Linked DNA regions of Coturnix japonica. The protein of the gene in region 1 purifies or fractionates together with the protein of each later gene. This does not show direct contact. Links are inferred from orthologs where the notes say so. Each region holds a gene or a part of one and is shown in the gene's direction. Other genes may lie near its edges.

What was found. Proteins that work in one complex are often made in the same cells at the same time.
Region 2: the proteins of CANX (region 1) and TAP1 purify together in Homo sapiens (affinity purification with mass spectrometry; 3 studies listed by BioGRID and IntAct, with this or other methods). This does not show direct contact. The link is inferred for Coturnix japonica from reciprocal best matches to the Homo sapiens genes CANX and TAP1.
Region 3: the proteins of CANX (region 1) and EMC1 purify together in Homo sapiens (affinity purification with mass spectrometry; 4 studies listed by BioGRID and IntAct, with this or other methods). This does not show direct contact. The link is inferred for Coturnix japonica from reciprocal best matches to the Homo sapiens genes CANX and EMC1.

The regions. Positions count from the first base shown.
Region 1 is NC_029528.1:4,532,930-4,538,676, forward strand, and holds the start of CANX (calnexin), read left to right. Parts: upstream 1-2,222; 5' UTR 2,223-2,327; intron 2,328-5,747. UniProt on the Homo sapiens protein: Calcium-binding protein that interacts with newly synthesized monoglucosylated glycoproteins in the endoplasmic reticulum. It may act in assisting protein assembly and/or in the retention within the ER of unassembled protein subunits.
Region 2 is NC_029531.1:101,051-106,862, reverse strand, and holds the start of TAP1 (antigen peptide transporter 1), read left to right. Parts: upstream 1-2,245; 5' UTR 2,246-2,254; coding exon 2,255-2,435; intron 2,436-3,034; coding exon 3,035-3,137; intron 3,138-3,219; coding exon 3,220-3,350; intron 3,351-3,433; coding exon 3,434-3,639; intron 3,640-3,997; coding exon 3,998-4,195; intron 4,196-4,649; coding exon 4,650-4,778; intron 4,779-4,869; coding exon 4,870-5,055; intron 5,056-5,451; coding exon 5,452-5,625; intron 5,626-5,812. Other genes in the region: TAP2 (antigen peptide transporter 2), read right to left, coding at 459-1,060. UniProt on the Homo sapiens protein: ABC transporter associated with antigen processing. In complex with TAP2 mediates unidirectional translocation of peptide antigens from cytosol to endoplasmic reticulum (ER) for loading onto MHC class I (MHCI) molecules.
Region 3 is NC_029536.1:4,061,614-4,067,329, reverse strand, and holds the start of EMC1 (ER membrane protein complex subunit 1), read left to right. Parts: upstream 1-2,149; 5' UTR 2,150-2,165; coding exon 2,166-2,266; intron 2,267-2,337; coding exon 2,338-2,462; intron 2,463-2,733; coding exon 2,734-2,799; intron 2,800-2,884; coding exon 2,885-2,978; intron 2,979-3,155; coding exon 3,156-3,284; intron 3,285-3,417; coding exon 3,418-3,544; intron 3,545-3,682; coding exon 3,683-3,832; intron 3,833-3,978; coding exon 3,979-4,146; intron 4,147-4,253; coding exon 4,254-4,325; intron 4,326-4,693; coding exon 4,694-4,750; intron 4,751-4,992; coding exon 4,993-5,115; intron 5,116-5,332; coding exon 5,333-5,429; intron 5,430-5,716. Other genes in the region: MRTO4 (mRNA turnover protein 4 homolog), read right to left, coding at 1-121, 253-329, 577-728, 880-947, 1,075-1,156, 1,249-1,352, 1,420-1,478, 2,031-2,058. UniProt on the Homo sapiens protein: Part of the endoplasmic reticulum membrane protein complex (EMC) that enables the energy-independent insertion into endoplasmic reticulum membranes of newly synthesized membrane proteins.

The DNA.
Region 1 (5,747 bases):
GGGAACCAAGAACAGAAAGTAAAAGCTGGAAGTGCAGCAGGTTTCTCTCATAGCAGGGCAGAAAAGCCGCCCAAAGCCGTGGTTTGCCCAGAAGCAGAAGGTTCAACTCTTTCCTCTGAGTTCTGTCTGTTCTGGATGGGGGAGCTCAGCCTTTTCCAGCCTTGCCACACTGCCCACTTCTTCTGCCTTTCAGAATTTACCTCTAAAATCAGAGAACAGCACAGTGTGCTTCACAGGCAATCCCTGGTGGAAACTGACAGATCTGCTTCAGTGTCTGAACAAACATAAATGAAAACCATTGAAAACCAATGAATATCTCAACAACGTCATCTCTGCAGTGTGGTATCTGCCATCCCTCTTTCTTCCACTGCCCTGGCACAGCTGAGCCTGGCCTAAAAATACCACCTGCTTGGCTGCCAGAGCACTGAGACCTCTGTGCGTGGTCATTCTGTTCCCTTCAGTCCTCCTTTTTTCTTCTATCCCCTTTTTTTTCTTGGACCAGCTTTCTGCCCTGTGTGGATTTTGTATTATTTTAACCTCAGTTTAAACACCTCAATAATCCCAGAGCATGATACGCTTTTAGCAGCTTGTATTTGTTTTTAACTGGCTCTTTTTGTCCCCAGATGACAAAGCAGAGCGGGCAGCAAACGGGCTTCAGGGCTGCCTGTGCCATGATTCAGCAGTCCTAAAAGGAAGGAATGCCTGCTTTTTTTGGGAGAGGGTGGGGGAGAGCAGGAAGGCATGTGTGACTGCTGGGTGTGTGTGAGTGTGTGACTGCCGTGACTGTGTTTGTGCATTGCCTTCCCAGAGCTCGTGTGATTGGAGCACAGCGTTCTGCTGCCCTGCAAGCTATGCTGGAGGTAATAGCCTGTTTCAAAAGAGGGACTTGGATGGTACCTGGCAAAAACTGCATTTTGCCCAGGGAGGAGATGGAACATGCTAAATTAAACACCTTTGTTACCTTTTAGAGCATTGGTTTCTTATTTAAGACACTTGGTATCTCACCTGCTGCCTGTCGTTTGGGGCTGCTTCCCTGCCTGTCTCTCCGCATTCAGGCTGGGCGCAGCTCAGCTGACAGCGAGGCACAGGAGCCAGCTCGGTGGCTTTGGGGTAAACTGCGACCATCAGATCCCAAACTTCAGCACAAGCGGGATTTGCTGATTGACCTCATTTATGCTGAGCCTCATTTCCGAGCTGGGTCAGTGCCGGCATTGTCCTCACGGGGTGGAATTTTCTCTGCGAGGAGACGTAACGCTGCTGACTCACCGCGTCGGCTCAGAGCAGAACGACGTTTGTAAAGGAAAACCCCCCTTCCCTGCTCCCCGGAGGCCACAGCCGGCACCGGGACGTTCGGCTTCAGCTCCCACGGGCGGCACAGCGGAGGCAGGGCCTGCTCCGCTCCCCTCAGCCCTCAGCCCTTCCTTCCGCCACCAGAACCGTTACTTCTGCATCCCCGCCCTCCTCCGCTCGTCTGGCCTCACAGACACCCTGACACAACCGCATCGCTTCCTTCGGGAACCCGGCGTTACACAAGGCCTGCAAGGCCTCTTGCCCGGCCCCAGGCCCACACCCTCAGCTCAGCCTGTGACTAAGGGGTACCAGACACACAGATATTTTCCTAACAGGCTGAAAACGCTTTCCGAGGGGTTAAAGAAACACCAGGGAGCGATGAAGGTGAACGAGCCCCAGCAGTACGAGCAGCTCCCGGCACAGCAGCGAGCGAGGCCGAACCCTGCTACAAGGCCGAGCCCCGCTATGGGGCCTAACCCCGCTACGAGGCCGAACCCCGCTGTGAGGCCTAACCCCGCTACGAGGCCTTAACCCCGCTATGAGGCCTAACCCCGCTACGGGGCCTTAACCCCGCTGTGAGGCCTAACCCCGCTACGGGGCCTTAACCCCGCTCTGAAGCCTAACCCCGCTGTGAGGCGATGCGCCCAGGCCGCAGCCCCGGCCGTGCCCCCACCACAGAGAGCGGCCGTGTCCCCGCCCACATCTCAACGGCCTCCCCTGGGCCAGCCAATCACCGCGCACTTCCTGCAACCTCGCCAGCCAATAGGAGCGCTCCACGAAGGGCAGCGCCGTTGGGGCGTGTTTTGAGGCGGGCGGGCCGTTGAGCGGCGGCGCTTTTAGCCAATCAGAACGCAGAACGGGCGGAGGGGCGGGAGGGTGGGCGCGCCGCTCGCCAATGGGAGAAGAGAAGAGAGGTGGGCCGGGGGGCGGAGCTGGCGCGCAATAGATAGGCGGGCGACGGCGGCGCTGGGCGCCTGGACACGTGACGGAGGTGAGGGCCGGGGGCGGCGGGAGGGTCCGCGGTGCTGCGGGGTGCGGTGAGTGACTCCACAGACACACACACATATATACACATGGCGGGGGGTTTGTTGGGGCTGCGGGGCTCCGCACGGTGCGGGGGGTGCGGTGTTGGGGTGCCGGGCCTCGAGCCTTCAGCCTCCAGCGTGGGCCTTGTGGGCAGCGGGGGGGTCCCGAGCCGCTGAGGGAGGGATGTGTGCGGCCGAGAGCTGCGGGCCGCCATGCTGAGCCCTGCGGGAACGGCGCCTTCTGGTACGTTCTGAGGGCGGGCGGCGCTGCGGCCTGTGCGGGGATGGGCGGGATGGGGAGCGGGGCCGTGACGGCACGAGGGGGGGAGAGCACGGAGTGAGGGGACGGGGAGGATGAGCAATGGGAAACAACGGGGTGTGCAATGGGAAACAACAGGTGGGGGTGCGGGCTGAGAGCCGCCGTGCTGTGAGCCTCACGGGCTGGGCTGGTTGCAGCGCAGGGCTCTCAGCTCGCACTGCTGGTCTGAGGGTCTCAGCCGTGTGCTTTTGAATTACAAATCTTAGTAAAGCACTCGTAGTCGTGACAGCGCTGTCTGCTCTGCTCCTAAAGAGTGAACTTTCACGTGCCGTCCCGCGCTTCAGAACTTTCTAGGCGGTGGAAAGAGAAATGCTGCGGGTGAGCTCATTGGGAAGGGAAGCTGCCATGTGGTGCTGGCTGGGGTTACCTACAGCTCCGGGCTTCAGCGGTTGTGATGTTAATGAACGCTGCTGAGCATCGTGTAAAACACACCGAGTTCGTTTGGGGTTTGTCTGGTGCCTGAGGTCCGGGCTCCGGGAACGTGATGTTTGTTGAAATTCAGTCTGTTATTTAATGTTTGTCAAGTAGTGATAACCCATGTGTATTATAAGGAGATAATAGAACCGTAATAAGGTGTGATATAACAGTGTTAAGAGTATGGGTTAAATGGAAGTTAATATATTACTACAAAAACACTTGAGGTGCACGAGAGTGGCTATTACATTATGTGGGTTTATTCAGAATGCTTGGCCCTTTTCTAGTTAAACTTCAGTATTTAAGTCTCAATATTTCCACTTACTTCACTTTACTTAAATATATGTGTAATGAAGAGACTATTTCTACATACTATTTGACAAGCTGGCTATAGGACGTTAACTGTTTCCTGGTGTTGGCTGCCCCTTTTGGAAGAGAAGCCTAATGCAGAACAGCGAGGAAGCTCACAGCTTCCTCTAGTTTGCCCTTTCATTCAATGTGTTGCAGCATTTCCCGCTAAGTAAATGAATAAATGCTTCACTGAGAGCACCCTGTAACTTGTACTTAGCCCTTCCTTGTATTTCCTTTCCTGGCCTTTCATTTTTCTGCCTCTTGCAGTGAACAAAATGGCAGCCTGTTCTTGCTGGAATCAATTCTGTAGCAAAGCAATCCTGAATTGATTTCTAGGCATGATCTCAAAGATCTTGAGGCGCCTCCACATTTCTCCCCACCTACCTTAATTTCCCTTGCAGTCCATCTGTTTTATGGCCAAGAAGCCTTGCAGTTCTGCCTTTGTCCTCCAAGGACTTCCAGTTCTGCGGGGATCTCTGTGCTGACAAACAGTACATGGTGTTTTCTCCCTTGCTGTTTCTGCAGTGTTGTACATTATTTTTAGAAACTGGCGTATTTGAAGTGCTTATTAAAGGCGAGCTTTGCTGTCACCTTTCACACCTAATCCCTTGGTTTGTTCTTCTTGCAGTCCAACCAGGGTGGCTTTTTCTGTTGCTCGTGGGGGCTCCAGGTTTGGCTGATCCCTTCTCAGAGTAGCAGTGTGTCCTGCCCCCACCCCTCCTTTGTGAGGGGAGAAAAAAAGCCAAACCAACGATACCACCCACACACAGAACTCCAGCCTGTTGAAAGCAAGGCAGGGCACTACTGGAGTCTGTCTGACTGCAGAACTGAGCACTTAAGGGGAAAATTTGGTCTGTATCGTATGAGCTGCTGTAGATATGAACATAATTTTATTATATCCCTCTCAGGAGCGGTGGGAATCTGGATGCTGAGATCACAGTGTTTGGCAATGAGGTTAGTGGTCTAGCTTTGCTGTGGAGTGTAGATCTCCCAAGTCTGCCTAATGAGAGGCCTGTGTGACAGGCGTGGATGCCTGCAGTGTACCTGATACGTTGGCATAAAGCTGATGCTGCTGCTAGCAGCTTAACATCCTTTATCCTTGGCTACTTGTCCTGCTACAGCACCTTCTGCCTTTGTGTACTGGACTGGAGCATTGATGACAGGTTAAAGCAGAAGGGTTTTTAGCCATCTTAAAGGGCCTGCCCTGCTCACCAGCAGGCAGTTGCTGTGACACAGCAGAGGAGGCAGGATGTGGAAAGTGAAGGGATCTCAAGATGTCAGAGATTCCTCCGCTCTTCAGTGGTTTGAACTTTAAGGAACTATTGGCCTGCCTTGTGGAATAGCCAAGTCCTGCTCAGAAATAATGAGAATGTCGTTTGAAGGGGGTGAGGATGGGGCGGGTATTGCTCCTCCTTTTGGTCTCCTGGCAGTTTTGTTTGAATGTACTGACTTGTGTCTGTACAATTTTCTTCCCCGGCCCTTGTCTTGCATGAGGATGCACTGTGCTTAGTTTTGCAGTTGTGCTTCCTCTGTAAATACAGTAACAAAGTGTAGCACTGAACACAGGGCTTTGCTAGTAAATCTTGTTGCTTACATGCGCTCAAGTCAGTTTCAGCTGTTGAGATGTTGCTGAAATAAGAACTGATAGTGCTCTCCCAGTTAAGCTTCTGAAGGGTAGTTATGGTAACTTGTGTGATGCAGCCACTTCCCTTCAATGCTTTGCTCTGCAATACCTGATGTCAAAAGAGCTGTTTTATCTGACAGGGTCTTTTAATAGAAAACTTTGTTAAACTATATATCCAGCAGCGATTGAGCTGTAGTTATACTTTGTGCAATGTGCAGTGTTAAGAACTGGCTCGATGAGCCACTCAGATGTGTAACCAAGGAGATGATTAAACTGGTTTTGCAGGCTCTGCTTAAACTGTGGGGAAATAACTTTATAAAGAGTATGTTCTGGAAGTATGATAGCAAGGACCTTAGACATCCTCTGTGGGGGCCCTCTCCTCTGTGTCCTTCCTGCTGCATGTGCTGGTGATAACTGATGTACTAATCAAGTCTTTGCAGTGTTGTGCCACTAATTAAGAAGAAAATTAGACTTTATGCCCAATAAAATAGGAAAACCAAGTCTGTGAAGCTGCATGATTTCTTGAAGGCTTTGGAATGTGAGTGCAGCAATCACTTGGTCCTGCACTGTATGAGTGCTGCTGTGGCAGGAAGCTGATGCTGTCTCTTCATGTCCAGTTTGGTTTAGTTTTTACTGATGTAACTTCAGTGCAGTTCCATGTGTCTGTTCCCAATGCTGCCATAAATTGCAGGGGAAAATGCTTCAGCCCTTTGCCAGGAGCTGG
Region 2 (5,812 bases), on another chromosome or scaffold:
CAAAGCCATCAAACAACCACCAAAGGTCAGTTGAGACCCCAGAACCCAGCAGGCAACTGCTAGGGTTGGAAGGGGTCAGGGAATGGAGACCCTAAAAGCCATCAAACACTAGCAGTTAGAGGGGTCCAGGGACAGAGATGCCCAAATTCATCAGACAACCAATAGGGGTTGGCTACATATGGGGATGGAGATCCCAGATGCCCTCAGATGCCCACCAGAAATGGACAGAGACCCCCAAATCCATCAAATGACCACCAGGGGTGGACAGAAACCCCCCAAATCCATCAGATGACCACCAGGAATGGACAGAGACCCCCAAACCCATCAGATGACCACCAGGAATTGACAGAGACCCCCAAACCCATCAGATGACCACCAGGAATCGACAGAGACCCACAAACCCATCAGACGACCACCAGAGCTGGATGGGGTTTTGTGGAGAGATACAGGATCCCTACCTGCTGGCAGAGGCCAGGCACATGAGGCCGACAGCAGCAGTGAAGGTGGTGAGCCCGTCCCCCTGGCGGAGGACATCCAGGGCCCTCCCGGTAAAGTAGGGCACTGAGGTCTCACCCAGTGCAGCCAAGGCGAGGAAGAAGAAGGCACAGCTGAGGAGGGGCCACTCGGGCCAGGCGAGGGCCAGCAACCTCTTCAGGGGCACCCAGGTCTCTGCATCCTTTGCCCCCACAGCCACAGTCGGGGCAAGGAGGCTCCAGGTGAGCAATGCCACCAAAGCTGTCCCGTGGGTCAGCACGAGCCAGGATGGTGTGGCTGTGGCCAGCAGCACCGGGGCAGCTCCAGGTAGCCCCATGTAGCCCCGTAGGGTCAGGAAGATGGCTGGGGTCAGGCTCAGCAACACTGCAGCCCCATGGGGTCCTTTGGGGGCCAGCAGCTGCTTGGCCCCCCCCAGCACCAGGAGGCGCAGCACAGCCTCCAGCCAGGAGCTCATTTGGCCCAACTGGGCCAGTGCTGGGAAGAAGTGGGTCAGAACCAACATAAGGGCCAGGTCGGCCAGGAGCAGCGTGCACGACAGGCGCAGAATGTGGGGTGGCACGGCCATGGCTGCAGGGTGGAGACCCCCAGAGCCTCTGGTGCACAGCTGGACTGGGTGGGCTCCCTGGGGTGCTCCTGGTGTGCTCCTGGTGCAGGTCCTCAGCTCCCCTCAGTGTCTGGAACACACAGCAGTGCTTTGAGAATGGCCTCCAGTTCCAGCCCAGCTCCCCACAGCCCTGCCTGGAGCACACACCAGCAGCCAACAAACTCCTACCAGCCCCCACCAGCCCCTCAACAGTTTCCACCAGTAACCACCAGTCCACTCCAGCTCATACCAGCCCCCTCCAGCTCCCCACCAGTCCATTCCAGCCCCCCCAGCTCACTCCATCCCCCCACCAGTCCACTCCAGCCCCCACCAACCCCTCCAGCTCCCCTCTAGTCCACCCCAGCCTACAAGCCCCCTCCAGTCCCCCCACCAGTCCACTCCACCTCCTACCAGCCCCCCACCAGCCCCTTCAGTCCCCCACCAGCCACTCCAGCCCCCACCAGTCCATTCCAGCTCCTACTAGCCCACTCCAGCCCCTAACAGCCCCCCTAGTCCCTACCAGTCCTCTCCAGCTCCTACCAGCCCCCACCAGCCCCTCCAGCTCCTACTAGCCCCGCTCCAGCTCCTCACCAGTCCACTCCAGCCCCCCCACAGCCCCCTACCAGTCCATCCACCTCCTACCAGCCCCCCCAGGCCCTACTAGCCCCCTCCAGCCCCCACCAGTCCACTCCAGCTCCCCTCTAGTCCGCTCCAGCCCCCCACCAGTCTCCACCAAGTCCATTCCAGCTCCTACCAGCCCACTCCAGCCCCTACAAGCCCCCTCCATCCCCCACCAGTCCACTCCAGCCCCCACCAGCCCCTCTAGACCCCCTCCTCAGTTCTACTCCAGCCTCCTCCAGTCCACTCCACCTCCTACCAACCCCCTTCAGTCCCCCACCAGTCCACTCCAGCTCCTACCAGCCACCACGAGCCCCCTCCAGCCCCCCTCTAGTCCAGTCCATCTCTTACCAGTCCCCACCAGCCCCCCACCAGTCCACTCCAACCCCCTCCAGCCCCTCACCACCGCCGCTCCCCATCTCCTCCCCGCTCCGCCGTTACTTTCGCTTTCAATTTCCCCACCCCTCTCCAACCTATTCCGTTCCGATCTGCCTGGCAACTGATGACTCCACCCCGTCTCGGCCAATGAGAGGAGCCGCTGCCGCATCGCCTCAGCCAATGAGCGACTCTCCCGTTTCCGAGAAGCTGCGGCCGCTGCCGGGCATTGGGATCGGGGTCGGAGTGGGATCGGGGGCTGCAATGGGGACGATGGGCGCAGGTCGCCGCCTCCTCCTCTCGCTGAGCCCCGAGAGCCGGCGCTGCGCTGCGGGGATGGGTCTGATGGCGGCCTCGGCGCTGGGTACGGGGAGTGGGGAGTGGGGAGCGGATCGGAGTGGGATTGGGATTTGAATGAATGAGGATGGGGTTGTGGTGGGGATGGGGGTGAGGATAGGGATGGGGATGGGTTGGGAAGGGGATGGGGTGGGGGTGGAGATAACCATGGAATGGGATGGGGAATGGGAATGGGAATGGGAATGGTGTGGGGGTAGACTGGGCACTGGGAATGGGGTTAGGATGGAGTGGGAATGATGTGGGTTTAGAACTGGGAATGGGGGTAGGATGGGGTGGGAATAGGGAGAATGGAAACTGGGGCTGGCTTTGGGATGGGGATGGGGATTGAGGGCAGGGTGATTATGGGGGTGTGATGGAGTGAGGATGGAGATGGGATTGGGGTTGGGTTGGGGTGAGGATGGTGATTGAATGGAAATGGTGGGGATTGAATGGAGATGAGTGGATGGGTGGGTGCAGCCCACTGGAGGGCAATGCTGAGCTTTGGAGGGGTTCACCTCCGAGCTTTGGGGGTACAGCACCAAACTGGGGGTGCAGCACAGAACTTCTGGGGCACCATTTCTTGTTGGGAGGGGTCACCCCCTTGTCCTGACCCTGCTGTGGTGACAGGTGAGATGGCCGTCCCCTACTACATGGGCCGTGCCAGCGACTGGGTGGCCCGCGAGGACGAGCTGGCAGCCATCCTGCCCATGGTGCTGCTGGGCCTCAGCAGGTATTGACACAAGGGGGGTGAGGGGGATGCGGTGTGGGTGGGGAGCAGCGTGGGACCCCCTGACACCTCAGTGCCATCACAGCGCTGTCACCGAGCTGGTGTGTGATGTGATCTTCGTGGGGACGCTGAGCCGCACGCAGAGCCGCCTGCAGCGCCGTGTCTTCGCTGCCGTCCTAAGGCAGGACATTGCTGAGCTGCGAGCTGATGGGGCCGGTGAGAGGCCAAGGGGGTTTGGGGGGGTGATATAGGGAGGGAAAAGGGACAGGGGTGGCACTGATGGCACCATTACCCTGCAGGGGATGTGGCCACGCGGGTGACGCGGGATGCAGAGGACGTGCGGGAAGAGCTGGGTGAAGCACTGAGCCTCCTGCTGTGGTATCTGGCACGTGGCATCTGCCTCTTTGCCACCATGGCCTGGTTGTCCCCACGCATGGCACTGCTCACCATGCTGCTGCTGCCCCTGCTGCTGGCCCTGCCCAGGGCTATGGGGCGCTTCCGGCAGGTATGGGCTGCTGGCTGTGCCCCCACGTGCCTGTTGTCCCATTCATGTGTCCGCTGTCCCCTCCACGTACCCACTGTCCTCCTTCCTGTTGTCCCCTCTATGTGACCATTGTCCCTTCGCGTGCCCCCTGTCCCTTCCATGTGCTCACCACCCCTGCCACGTGCTCACTATCCCCTATGTGTGACCATTATCCCTTCCATGTAGGTACTATCCTCTGCGTGCCCCCACTGTCACCTCCACGTGCCCACCATCCCCGTTATGTCCCCTCCATTTCTCAGTCCCCTCTATGCCTTCACTGTCCCCTCCCCCAGCCCCCATTCCTCTCCCACCCACCCTGCAGTGACACTGCTGTCCCCAGGGCCTGGCACCACAGATGCAGAAGGCTCATGCCCGGGCCAGCGAGGTGGCAGTGGAGACCTTCCAGGCCATGGCCACTGTGCGTAGCTTCGCCAATGAGGACGGGGTGGCTGCATGTTACCGGCAGCGCCTGCAGCAGAGCCACAGCCTGGAGAAGAAGGATGTAGCCTTCTATATTGTCAACCTCTGGACCAGCGGTGTATGGGATGGGGCCGTTCAGTTGGATGGGGATGTGATGGAATGGGGCTGGGGGACATGGGGACTTGACAGGATAGGGACTGGGTGACATGGGGACATGATGGTATTGAGACATGAGGAGATGGGTACATGATGCTGAGGGGCTGGGGGCCATGATGGAGGCAGGGCATGGGGATATGATGGAATGGGGACTGTGGGATGGGGATGTGATGGCATGGGGACATCAGGATGTGGCAGGCACAGAAGTAGAGGAGTGGTGGGGCAGGAGGATGCGGTGATGTGGGAATGGAGTGGCACAGGGGCTCCAGAACATGATGGCATGAAGGGATGGATAGCATAGCTGTGGGGCATTGGGACATGGGGGACACTGACAGCAGGGCAAGGTGACAGAGTAGGGCTGGGAACTCAGTGTATCATTGGGAAGGTGTCCCCCGTTGACCTCATGGCGTCCTCAGTTCTCAGCACTGGCTCTGAAGATGGGGATCCTCTACTATGGGGGGCAGCTGGTGGCTGCGGGGACCGTCAGCACCGGGGACCTCGTTACCTTCCTCCTCTACCAGATGCAGTTCACTGATGTCATAGAGGTGAGCCCGAGGGGATGCCCATGTCCCCACGTCCCCATGTCCCCATGCCGCTTCCCCTTAACCCCTGGCTGTATCACTGCGCTGTCCCCAGGTCTTGCTCTGTTATTACCCCACACTGACAAAGGCTGTGGGCTCTTCAGAGAAGATCTTTGAGTTCCTGGACCGGGAGCCCAAGGTGGCACCCTCGGGGACAATGGCACCCAGTGAGCTGCAGGGCCACCTCCAGCTGGAGGACGTTTGGTTCTCCTACCCTGGGCGCCAGGAGCCCGTCCTCAAGGTGGGCACAGGGACAGAGCCAGGGGACACAGGGATGTGGTGGAACAGCGTGACAGGTGTGGGGACACAGCGGGGTGATCCAGGGCCACAGGGATGTGATGGACATGATGGGTGTGAGGATATGAAGCAAAGAGGTGCAAGGAGGGGGTGGTTTGGGGACGTGGCATTGAGGGCGCAGGGACATGGCAGGTGGTGGGAATGTGGCATGGGGACACAATGAGTGACAGAGACATGGCGGGGAGGGCATGGGTGTATAGATGTGGTACCAGAGGTATGGGAACAAAACGAGATTGGGGAAGGGGGGTGGGAAAGGGGACAGAAGGGCACAGCAGGAAGGCCATGGGGCCATGGAGGGGTGGGTACAGGGACACCATGGGTGTGACATCCATGTCCCCAGGGTGTATCGCTGGAGCTTCACCCTGGGGAGGTGCTGGCCCTGCTGGGACCCCCAGGTGCAGGGAAGAGCACTCTGGTGGCCCTCGTGTCCCGCCTGCACCAGCCCACAGCCGGACGCCTGCTGCTGGATGGACACCCCCTCCCCACCTACCAGCACTCCTACCTGTGCCGCCAGGTGAGTCACCGCACATCCCCACAGCTCATTGTTGTCCCTGTGGGTCACCGGGTGTTCTTGCATATCAGCAGCCATCCCCGTTGGGTCACCAGTTGTCTGGGTCCACAAGCATCACCACATTCCCCACCATATCCCCACTGTATCCATCCCCAGCTGTCCCCGATCCATCCCCACCACCTCCACAGCT
Region 3 (5,716 bases), on another chromosome or scaffold:
CTTCCTCCTCTTCCTCCTCATCCTCCCCATCTCCCGCCAGCTTCTCAAAGTCGCCCGTCTCCGAACTCCACAGGAATTTGATGGTCACTTTGAACTCTGCCATCTCGTAGCCAAAGAGTTTCTAGGAAAGGACACAGACTCATCATCCCACCTGGTTATCGTAACAGTGCAGCTCTTAGATGAGCTGCTGTGAGAACCACATGGAACAGTGCACGTCCCAGTGCCTGTGTTCCATTGTGTTCCATTGCTCACCAGGACCCGCGCTTGCTCGGGGGTCAGAATATCCCCTTCTTTGCAGACTTCATAATCTGAAAGCAGCGTCACCACTCCTGCAGGAACAAAAGCAGGGGAAGAAAACCCCATAATCTGGCTTGTTAGTGGATCAGCACTGCAGGAGGGCACAAGGCTGCCTCCCGTCCTATGGCAGCAGCCAGGTGGTGCAACAGGAAGAAAATAAGGCTTTGAGCACCAGCTTTGCTCCAAAACTCAACCCTAAATGCCTACAGAATGTTCTTTTTAACAGACTGCATAGGCACAATGGAAGAGAAAGGGAAGCAGCTCCCTCACACCGTGTACCTTTCTTCAGAGCTGTTGGCAATCCCAGCTGCCGCAGCTGAGGCTCCATGGAGTGGGGAAATTGCTCCAAGGGCCCCATGTCCAGACTGACTGTGTAGGTCGCCTTGTTCCCTGCTCGTGCAAAATCCACCTTCCTGAAGTTGGAGAACCACCTGAGGGAGATGAGCACACACAGGAATGGAGGCACTGTGCAGGTTGCTGGGGGTTGGGGGTATTTTATGACAGAGCAGGTGAGGAACAGCCTGTTGTGCATTTTGGACTTACAATGAGCTGCGATGAGCTCGGTCACACACACATACTTACTCATCCACCTCCTCTTTGGTGCGATTGGTGAAGAGGAGACCAACTTCACCCCTCAGGTGCTCGCTGACCTGTGATAAAGGAGCCCAGAGGTGCTGAGACTCAGAGTTAAGGCTGGAAATGCCCTCATCACCTCCATGGATGAACCCCCCCCTACGGACAGCTGTGCCGGTTGTTTCTAACCGAGTTCCCTCCCACCTTGTGTAAGTTCTCCCTGTATTCGCTGCTTGGCTCCCGGCCCAGCGCCACCATCATCACTTTGTTCTTCCCGAAGAAGATCCTACAATTCAACCAAGAGGAAGATGATGATGATGATGATGGTGATGATGATGGGGTTGACCCCTCTCCATCACTCCCCATCCCGTTGCTCACCTGCTGTGTTTCCATGCGTTCCTCACGTCCTTCAGCTTGTTGTTCCTCATGTTGGCCACGGAGAAGATGAAGATGTGTTTGTAGGTGTCCACGCATCGCCGCAGCTGCACGACAGCGGTTAGCGGGGCCTAATGGGGTGGAGCGGGGCAGCGCGCACTGGGCACGACTCACCTCCGTGATCAGCGCTTGTTTGGCCTCCAGTCCCTTCTTAGGCGTCCGCGTCAGGGACACTGCGGGGAGGGGACGTGGTTCACAGAATGACCCGGGTTGGAAGGGACCTCAAGGATCGTGTAGTTCCAACCCCCCTGCCTGGCAGGGCCACCAAACATACACCTTTACTAGATCAGGTTGCCCAGGAGACCCCATAGACCCCATAGAGACCCCATAGATCAGGTTGCCCATGGCCCCGTCCAACCTGGCCTTGAACACCTCCAAGGACGGGGCATCCACAACCTGCCTGGGCAGCCTGTTCAGGCCTAAACCATCTCTAGTGAAAGAGCTTCCCCCTAACATCCACCTAAAATCTTCCCTCTTTTTAAGCTTAAAACCATTTCCCCGTGTCCTGCTATTGTCAGCCCTTTCCAAGAGCTTAATCCCCTCATGGATGTAGATTCCCTTCATGTACTGAAAGGCTGCAATGAGGTCACCCCGCAACCTTCTCTTCTCCAGGCTGAACAAACCCAACTCGCTCAGCCTGTCCTCATAGGGGAGGTGCTCCATCCCCCTGAATGGTTAATGGGGAAGGGGAGGACGGAACGCCGCGACATGAGCCGCTCACTCACCCTTACGGTCCCGCTTGGATTTCGGCATGGCTCCCCGTGCTTCGAGGCCCCCCGGCACCGCGGGTGCTGCTGGGGATGTGCGGGCTGCCCCGCTCGGTGCCTCCCCGTTCAGGCGCAGCGCAGGGCAGCCCCGTGATGCGGGGAGGTCCCGGCGCTGTCATGGCGGCCGGGCTGTGGGTGCTGCTGCTGCCGCTGGCGGCCGCCGTGTACGAGGATCAAGTGGGGAAGTTCGACTGGTGAGTGCCGGGCTGTCAATGCGGGGCTAAACCCACGGCTCGTGTCCGTGTAACGCTGCCCGTCCCCGCAGGAGGCAGCAGTACGTGGGGAAGCTGAAGTTCGCCTCGCTGGAGGCCTCGCAGGGCTCCAAGAAGCTGCTGGTGGGAACCGAGAAGAACGTGGTGGCTGCGCTCAACTCCCGCAGCGGAGACATCCGTGAGTGGGGCGGGGTGTGGGTCACAGCCCACAGTGCTGTATATCCACTATGAGGGTGACACCAAGCCTATGTGTGCCAGTTATCAGTGCTCCTTCAGGGGGATGTTGGCCCTGAAATCCAAGCTGCAGCTCCCGCAGTGAGGACATGGCTCTTTGCAGTGAGGACATGGCTCTTTGCAGTGAGGCTCTTTGGGAGGTCCCAGGGCCGTGGGTTTGAGAGCAGTCAGCAACATCCTCATTGTGCCCATCTCCTTCTCGCTCTGTGTCTCAGTGTGGCGCCATGCAGACAAGGCCGGCCCTGAAGGAGCCATCGACGCGATGCTGATCCATGGTCAAGGTGAGCACATCACACACAGCAGCTGCTCTGCTCCCCGTGTTGGATGCCCTGGCTCTGGGCTCAGCTCCCTTTGCTCCCTGTGTAGATGCCATCACCGTATCCAGCGCCGGGCGCATCCTGCGCTCCTGGGAGACCAACATCGGAGGGCTGAACTGGGAGACGTCGCTGGACACGGGCAGGTAGCGCTGGGCACCAGGGATAAGTCAGTATTTAGTTAGTAAGCTTAACGTACCTTGTCTGCAGTACAGCAGTTTGGACATCAGGCTTTGAAAATCTGGATGGTTGTATCCAACAGCTCCCCCTGTTTGAGAGCCCACAGATCATTCTCTAATCAACCATCTCTGACCTGTGCTCAGTTTCCAGGCCGCGAGTCTGGTGGGGCTGCAGGACGCGGTGAAGTACGTGGCAGTGCTGAAGAAGGCGGCCATCTCCCTGCACTACCTGTCCAACGGGCACCAGAAGTGGGTGGAACAGCTGCCTGAAAGGTGAGGATGTATTTGGAGCTGAAGAAAGAAAGTTCAGACTCACAGCCCAACTCAGGATGCTTCATGTCCTTGAAAAGCTTTGGAAGCAATAAGACGAGCAAACGATGCCTCGTGCCCTTTGTTTCTCGCACAGTGAGGATACTCGATACCAGATGTTGTATTCCCGTGGGGCTGGAGTGATCCATGTGCTCGGAGTTGTCCCCCAGAGCCATCTGAAGGTGTTAACGCTCAGTGTGGAGGATGGAGAAGTCATAGAACAGGTAGTTGTGCTCGATTGTGGATCCAATGTGGCAAATTTGATATGAACAAACACAGTGCATGGAGTTGTGTATGTAAGTTCATTCCTTAAACATCATCATGCTGTTGACGTCTTCATCTCTTGATGTCTCTCTTGGCAGACCAAAGTAGCAGCCCCGTGGCTGAAGAGCTTAAATGGAGCCTGCAACGTGGTGGGGGAGGCAGTGCTGGTGTGTGCAGACGCAGCCACGCGTTCGCTCTATGTTTGCTCTTTGGAGACGGAGCAGGAGATGAAGCAGATCCCGCTGCAGGTGAGCAGTGCTGAGAGGCTTCGTGTGCAGTTATCCAGCTGATTTGGTGCCTGGCGGTGCTGTCTGTTGCTGCTGATACAAGGAAGCTATTAGTTTCACTGGGGAAGAAGTTTCCATCAATGCATGTGCTTGTTTCCCTTCCACAGTCGCTTGACCTGGAGTTTGCTGATGGTTTCCAGCCCAGGATATTGGCTACTCAGCCCAGTGTGATCAACGCTTCGCGCACTCAGTTCTTCCTGCAGCTCTCTCCGGGCTCCTTCTCCCTGCTGCAGTGCAAACAGGGGCTGCTCAGCCACCTGAGGGACTTCCAGCAGGTAACCAGGAGAAAGGGCCAACACAGCTTAACACTGCTAACAACAAACACCCCTTTTTATTGTGTTTTATCATTTCTTGCTCCGTTCTCTTTTTCCCTTTTTTTCAGGCAGCCCTGGTGAGCTTTGCAACTACTGGGGAGAAAACTGTTGCTGCTGTGCTGACCTGTAGGAATGAGCTGGTAGGTGCAGCTCTGTCATCTGAATGTGGCTTAGAGTGGGTTCCACGCTTATTCCTTTGCAGGCCTGCATGATGAGTAGCTTGGGAAAGAGTGGGATTTAATGATCTTTTCAGGCCTAAGAAGTAATGCATGCAGGTCTTGGTTACATCCAGCCTAGGCTCACCTTGTCTAAGCTGTTGTGTCACGTATACGTTCACTGCAGTAGATTTCAGTTCTTACGGGCACTGAGCTGAGCACAGCCTCGTTTTTAGCATAACTCTCTGCTGCTTTTAAAGCCAAGCTGAGATTGCCAAGCACACAAAGCAATTCATTTATCACGCTCTCATGGCAGTGTCAAATCACGTTACCTTCTCTCATCCTCATTGCAGAAACCTGGGAGTTCTGATGGCCTTCATGGAAGTGCTCTGGAGGATTCCCAGAAACAAGTATGAAAAACAAGTTCCCATATGCCATAAAAGTTCTTGACAGTCCTTTTTCTTCCTTTGCTTGTGGGAACAGAGCATAGAAGGTGTTACACCTTGGTTTTGGAGGCTGATGTTTCACAGCACCTATAGATAAACCATCTAAAAACATTTTGAAACCATAATGCTTGCTCACATGAGATTCTGCAGCAGAATTTGACGTGACTGGTAAATTGATCTGAGCATTTTTCTGCACGATGTTACAGGAATCCTTAACCTGTTCCAATCAAACCTACAACATCAATCTCTATCTGGTTGAAACTGGACAAAGATTGCTGGATACCACCATCACCTTTAACTTGGAGCTGAACGGTGTCAAGCAGGAGCAGGTGGGTGGGCAGAGATTACTTCAGTCCTCTGGTTTGTTGTGCTTGCAATCGCCTTCACACCATGATTTGGCACCATTTGTAGAGCTGTTGAGATGTGGTGAAATCATTACTGTGTGCAGCTACGCTGTTTGTTTCACCTGTGTGTTTACTGTTATCCAAGCAGATGGTGTGATCACTAACCCAACCGACTGGCTTAATCTTTTTCTTTTTCCCTCAGCTCTATATCCAGGTTTTCCTGAAGAAGGATGACTCGGTGGGCTACCGAGCCTTGGTGCAAACAGAAGACCACATGCTGATGTTCCTCCAGCAGCCAGGTGATTGGCACAAACTGCAAACCTGACCTGGGTTTTACCAGCAACCTTCTTCAGGAGGAGAAGAAAACTGCAGTGCTGTAGAACCCAGGCCCTGTATTTTAGGGTTGCTGTTGTGCTGTGGAAGATACTGCAGTCTTTCATCATCTTTCACCCTCAAAAGATATCTCACCTGAGATGACTATTCTGCCATGTTCTTTGTATAGGGAGAACCTATCAGTTTTATAGTGTTTTAGGTTAGGGTTTGGCTTTTTTAGGGGGGTATCAAACATCTTACCATAGGGTGAGTC